2 linked regions of the Ovis aries genome follow. The protein of the gene in region 2 purifies or fractionates together with the protein of the main gene of each other region. This does not show direct contact. Links are inferred from orthologs where the notes say so. Each region holds a gene or a part of one and is shown on either strand. Other genes may lie near its edges.

What was found.
Region 1: the proteins of DHX15 (region 2) and GCFC2 purify together in Homo sapiens (co-immunoprecipitation; 3 studies listed by BioGRID and IntAct, with this or other methods). This does not show direct contact. The link is inferred for Ovis aries from reciprocal best matches to the Homo sapiens genes DHX15 and GCFC2.

Annotation. Positions count from the first base shown.
Region 1 is NC_056056.1:62,826,521-62,830,174, forward strand, and holds part of GCFC2 (intron Large complex component GCFC2), read right to left. Parts: intron 2,566-3,654; coding exon 2,440-2,565; intron 1-2,439.
Region 2 is NC_056059.1:44,726,994-44,730,647, reverse strand, and holds part of DHX15 (ATP-dependent RNA helicase DHX15), read left to right. Parts: intron 1-1,108; coding exon 1,109-1,327; intron 1,328-3,654.

The sequences.
Region 1 (3,654 bases), on a different chromosome or scaffold from region 2:
TAGAACTAGAACAAATAATCCTAAAATTTATAAGGAACCACAAGAACTGCCAAAGCAATCCTGAGGATAAAGAAGAAAGCTGGAAACACAACTCTCCCAGACTTCAGATAATACTACAGAGCTACAGTAGAGCCCAGAAATAAAACCACACACCTACTGTCAATTAATCTTGACAAAGGAGGCAAGAACAGAACGACAAAAAAAAAGACTCACAGACGTAGGAAAAAAACATATATTTACCAGAGGGGAAAGGGTGTCAGGGAGAAATAAATTACGAGTATGAGATTGAACAAACTACTATATATAAAACAGATAAGCAATAAAGACTTACTGTACAGCACAGGGAACTATATGCAATATCTTAAAATAACTTAAATGCAAAAATAATCTGAAAAAATATATATATAACTCAATCAGTTTGCTGTACACCTGAAACTAATACTGTAAGTCAACTGTACTTCTATTTAAAAAAACAGAGGTTAATACTATGCCCCATTGGTAAGCAGTCTCTGCAACAATGAATATCTCAAGGCAGACATTCCAGTACAGGATCATTCTAATAGATGTATCATCTGAACAACAACAACAACAAAAATAAACGCACTGTATCTTCTATATACTTCCTTAAACTTATCTCATTTCTTCTTTCCTCTCCAGAATAAAAGAAAAAATAAAATGTTCCTTACAAGGCAAGTTTTCATCTTGCAATAACACCTTAGGGACTACGTGTTGGATAATCAAAAATTATCCAATACATTTCCAAACTCTGCCTTCTCTCCTTAGGTTCCCAGTGCTACCAACACTTTACAAGTACTACCTTACCCTGTCTAATCATGCCATAGCAGCATGTTAAATACAGTAACCACCAGCCACGTGTGATTATTTAAGCAAACTAAAAACCGAGTTCCTTAGTCACACTAGCCACATTCCAAGAATTTTACTGCCATGTGTAGCTAGTGGATAATGTACTGGATGGTGAAGATACAGGACCTTCATAGAAAGTTTTACTGGACAGCACCGTATCTAGAGTCTGGACAAAACTTTACTTGTTTACTAGACTTCAATTCTTAATACTGGCTTCATCACTAAGTACTTATGTAGCTTAATGAACTTGTTTAAGAAAAATAATTACAAGAACTTCTGGTTATTGTTATTTCATATGTTAACAAAGCACTTGCTACTATATTATAAATCTTTAAAAATATGTACTAATAATTATACTTCAAATTAACTTGTTTTCTTTATAAAGCTATACATTTTGTTTTGCTCAGAAGGGGTCTTAGGCTTTATGAGACTGAAGACAGTCCACAGCACAAGAGAAGTTAAGAACCTTGAATTAGAGTAGGCCAAGGAAATATTTCCGGCTTTTTGGGCCATAAAGTCTGTTATGACTTCTCAGCTCTGCCATTGTAGTGCAAAAGCATCCACAGAAAATACATAATTGAATGAGCATGGCTTTAATAAAACTTTATTCACAAAAGCAGATAGTGGGCCAGATTTGGCAAACAGGTGGTAATTTGTCAACCCTTGAATGGAATTATCTAAGACACAAAAATGGTCATGTCATCTATTTGCATAAAGTTTTCAGTAGTTTCCTCAAAACCCTGGATTATCTGACTTCAATCTGTATCTTACTTTCTTTTTTTCCTTCTTTCTTAAAACTTAACCAAGAATTTTCAGCCCAACAACTACTTTTTAGCTCTCTGCACATTACTCTGGTTATCTTCCCTAGGTTTTTATATAATGCGCATCCTGTACCTGAAACATCCTCATACACAAATTCTTACCATCTTTCAGACACTGAAAGATGGCATGAACCACTCAGTAGAGCACAATGGTTAAGAATTCAGGCTCTGAGGCAGCCAGGGCCCAGAGTAGTTCAATATCCTTTTAGACTAACTCAGCTATTTAAAAGCAGAGTGAGGAGTGGAACTCAGCTCTCTATCATTAATTTTTTCAGCATTTATAGATCATTAACTATGCTCAGGTAAACATTATGCTGAACCTGAGATGTATAAAGGCAAGACCCCTTCTCTAGCCCCAGTCAAACTGCTCAGCTAATGCCACATGGAACACAGTTTAATCTCTGTTAAGCTCTGCCCAAATTCTTGACCCACAAAATTGTGGGACATAATAAGAAAACTGCTATTATAAAATAAAATAAGTAAATAAACCCGAAACAAAACAAAACAAAAAGGACATAGGCTCTGCAGCAGATTCCCCAGGTTGGAATCCTAGTGCTGCCTATTATAAGCCCATCTGACCTTGGGCATGTTATATAATGGAAGTGACAGCCAATTTTGGTCCCTTGACAATAATTAGAAATAACTTACTTGCCCCATACTTCACTAGAGTTTTATCAAAAACAAGAATCACTGGTATAGAAAAATACTAATATTAGAAATAAAATTCTTAACCAAAATTACAAATATTACTGACCTACTGATGAAAACTCGTCCTCCAGAGTCCTAGAGCTGTTGGGAGATGAACTCTGATCATCTTTACTTTCTGAAGAATGGTGTGCTCCATCCTCTTCTTCGGCTGAAAGATAAACCATTCTGGATTCTAACAGGACATTTTTTGAATATAACATGAAAGATTCAGGATATTGGAATCAATAAATGAAATTCTACACAACACATAGTGTATGTAAAATATGGTGTTTTAATTTTATTCCACATATTTAAAGTAGACATGCAGACCTTTCTTTAACTTCCTTTCTTTCTGAAATGAACAGTCTAATAAATATGCAACAATATATCCTATTTGCATTATCTACTTAACTAGTGAAATACTTAACTAGTGATATAACATGAAATACATACTATTAAAGAATGCAACAAAAAGAGGGAAGGGAAAAAACAAAAAGAGAAAAAAGTAAATGACCAAAAAAAGAAGGAATATTTAAAAGAGAAAAGACGAACAGTGGTAGTAAATAAGCAGATAAAGAAGAGAACACTTAATGTATACTTGCTATGTGCTAGGCATACTGAAGTCTGTTTTACAAAATATATTTCATTTAGTTCTCACAATTCAATAAAGTAAATGCTATTACTGATGAGGACACTAGGGACTGGAATGGCTAAATAACATGCCCAGTATCACAAAGTTACTAAATGGAGAAATCCAACTCTTGGATTCAGGCTGGTGGTAAGAAGTATTATAATGGGCACTGCAGTCTCAAACTAAATCATGGATCTATTTCCACTGTGTGATTCTGGAAAGGACACAGTCAATTAATCAATAAACAAAGATAGTATTAAAAGAGAACACCCCATAGAAGTGTTATCAGGACTGAATGAGCAAAACGTAAAGGAACTCATGGTATTATTGACAAAAAAGGACTTGTTGGTTCACAATTATTTTGTAATATTTGTGAATAACCTTAAGATTTAAGATTGCATAATAACTACTCTATCTTAAAAATGCTCCCTAAGGATTTCCCTGGCAGCCCAGTGGCTAAGACTGAGCCTTCCAATGAAGGGAGTGCAGGTTTGAACCCTGCTTAGGGAACGAAGATGCTACCAATCATGCATGGGTAAAAGATTCACTCAGAGCGCAAAACACATGGATGGATTTTAATCTAATTGAGCATAACAAAATGATATGGTTTCAGCTCCCACGTATCATGCAGAAATTGGCACTTGCCTCCTG
Region 2 (3,654 bases):
CTTAAAACTGACTGACTGTGTGGACATTTTTGTCTCCCAAATTTTATGACGTTACCTTTTTGCATTGTATGTGTGCAGTTCATTGGAACTTGGTGTTGAGTGTTATTGTATGTGTTACAGAGGTTTGTACACTGGGGAGAAAGATTCTGGGTCTTAAAAAAATTGATACTGAGTTTGATTTTACTATAAAAATTAAATGTATACTTTAAAGAATATATTTGAACAACTGAGTACTATTACTGATTAAACGTTATGAGCTATTGAAATTTTGAGGGAGGAACTCAAAAATAGAAATTAAGAACTCTATAGTGGAATGTTTAATGGGAGAGCTTTTTGTTTAATGGGTTTTGTCATGTATAATTTAAATAAAGAGAGGGTGACCACACAGTCATGCAGCCGGTACCTGAACAACCTTTTGTTGCTGTGGCTTTTTCAGTAGTATAGAAAACCTGTTTGTTTTAGAAAGTTTTCTGAAGAACTTATGCTTAGTAAAGATGATTTGGAAGAATGGAGAAATATTTGTACCACTGATTTATTTTTTGCTTTTTTTGTTTTTCCCTGTGTGCGAGGTTGTCACTTTTTGTTTTAATAGCATAGTAACAATCATATTACATATTGATGTCTCTTATCAGTTCCTTTTATGTAATTTTATAAACTTTGGTTTTTAAGGTGTTGCTTCATGAAAATATACAGTAGTTTATTTATTGGTTATCAGGTTTATTCCTACTTTTTAAAAATTAAATTTACTGTAGCTCAGCTTTTCTATATTTGATTTATCACAACTTTTAAGGCATAATTAATATATGAGGAGTGAAAGTGTTAGTTGCTTTAGTCATGTCTTGACTCTTTGTGACCCCATAGACTAGCCCGCCTTGCTCCTCTGTCCTTGGAATTCTCCAGGAAACAATACTGGAGTGGTTAGTCCTTCTTTTCTCCAGGGGATCTTACTGACCCAGGGATAGAACCACAGTCTCCGGCTTTGCAGGCCGATTCTTTACTCTCTGAGCCACTAGAGACACCATAGTTGACATATATGGAGCAGTAAACATTACTCATCTCTTTACAATCTCTGAAGACAGCTTCAAATAATTTACTGTTTTCTTTTCAGGTTATAGTTATGAGTGCTACTCTGGATGCAGGAAAATTCCAGATTTACTTTGATAACTGTCCTCTCTTAACTATTCCTGGGCGTACACATCCTGTTGAGATCTTTTATACTCCTGAACCAGAGAGAGATTATCTTGAAGCGGCAATTCGAACCGTGATCCAAATTCACATGTGTGAAGAGGAGGAAGGAGATCTACTACTTTTCTTAACTGGTCAAGAGGTATTGTCGTTACTTGGTTCCTTATTTATATTATTTCTATTAGGCAACACCTTTAAACTTAGGAACCCAACATACATTAACCATGTATTTCTCATCCCAGTGTCTAGAAAGTTTTTCTTCAGCATGATTGTATTTATATATGAAATATATAACTCCCTGTATGTACTCTAGGAATATACCCTTTTATGCTGTTAACATTTGTGTTCTAGTTGATATCCTGAGAATATTAAATGCTTTTAGAATTTCAGGATTTAGCAGTTTTAATCTCAACTTTGGAGAGACCCGAGTGGCAAGTGATTTTGTGCTAATTTGCCATTCTGCTGAGCCATGAATGAAATCTGGTTACTCTAGGCAGTAATTTAGTTTGTAAGGGAATTTGTATAACTCAGGTGCCCATCTACCATCAAAACAAGTGTTTGTGTTTTGTTTTTGTCTTCCTACATGTGTTTATTGAGAATTGGAAGGAATCACTGAAATTCTTTAGACTTTACATCATTTTTAAGATAGGGATTTTATTCTCACATGCAGCATTTTCTAAACTCATTTCCATCAGGATGTTTACAGGTGGGCTATGAAATTTTTGATGGCTTAAATAAGTTCAGTGAGTTATCTGGATAAAAGAAACTCTTTTAGAGGTTTTCTGAAAGTTTGTCATTTGTTGTGATAGGCTTTGTGAATTTTCTGCAGTGTCCTTCTCAAACTAATATACATGCCAGTCATTTGGAAATCTTGCAGATTTTTATTCGCTAGGTCAGATATAGGGTCTGATCTGAGAGTCTGTTTCTAGAACAGTGCTACTCCATTAGAACTTTCTTTACATGTGGAAATGTTTTTATGTCTATACTGTTCAATATAGTTGTTGCTGTTCAGTTGCTCAGCCATGTCTGATTCTTTGCAACCCATTGGAATGCAGCACACCAGCCTTCCCTGTCCTTCACTATCTCCCTGAGTTTGCTCAGACTCACATACATTAAGTCAATGATGCCATCCAACCATCTCATCCTCTGTAGCCCCTTTCTCCTGCTCTCAGTCTTTTGCAAGTATCAGGGTCTTTTCCAGTGAGTTAGCTCCTCTTCACATCAGGAGGCCAAAGTTGGAGCTTCAGCATCAGCCCTTCCAGTGAAAAATCAGGATTGATTTGCCTTTAGGATTGACTGGTTTGATCTCCTTGCAGTCCAAGAGACTCTCAAGAGTCTTCTCCAACACCACAATTCAAAAGCATCAGTTCTTTGGTGCTCAGCTTTGTTTATACTCCAACTCTCACATCCATACATGCCTACTGAAAAAACCGTAGCTTTGACTAGATGGACCTTTGTCAGCAAAGTAATGTCTCTGCTTTTTAGTATGCTGTCTAGGTTTGTCATAGCTTTTCTTCCAAGGAGCAAGCATTTTTTAATTTCATGGCTGCAGTCACCATCTGCAGTGATTTTGGAGTCCCCCCAAATAAAGTCTGTCACTGTTTTCATTGTTTCCCCATCTATTTGCCATGAAGTAATGAAACTAGATGCCACACTATTAGTTTTTGTAGCTGCAACAATATAATGAACTTGAGTATTTGCATTGCAGCTAGTGAGAGGAGGAACTAAAATTTAATTTTATAGAATTTTAATTAATTTAGTTACATGTGCTTGACCCTCTTGTTTTAGTTTTTACATATTTTAAGAACTGTTTTTACATATTTTAGTTTTAGTTTTTACATATTTTAAGGGTTTATATGAAAACAAAGAATATGCTTCAGAGGTGGTGTATGGATGGAAAGCAAAGAATATGCTTCAGAGGTGGTATATGGATGGAAAGCCTAAAAAATTTTGGCCCTTTATAGTAAGAAATCTGATCCCTGCTCTAGAACATTTTTTTTTCAAGTGTGGTCAGTGGATTGCCTGCCTTGGGTAGGGGAATTTGTTAAAGCAAGTTCTTGGCCCTGTTTCAGGCTTGCTGAAACAGATGAAATTTACAGATGAAATACTGTAAGAATCTGCATCCTTGCTGCTGCTGCTAAGTCGCTTCAGTCGTGTCCACCTCTGTGCCACCCCATAGATGGCACCCCACCAGGCTCCTCCTTCACTGGGATTCTCCAGGCAAGAACACTGGAGTGGATTGCCATTTCCTTTTCCAGTGCATGAAAGTGAAAGTGAAGCCACTCAGTCATGTCCGACTCTTAGCGACCCCATGGACTGCAGCCCACCAGGCTCCTCCATCCATGGGATTTTCCAGGCAAGAGTACTGGAGTGGAGTGCCATTACCTTCTCTTTTGTGTCTTTAACAAGCTCTAAAGGCCATTTTTCTGTTCTCTTAGGTTAAAAGTCACTGTTCCAGTTGAATGTTTT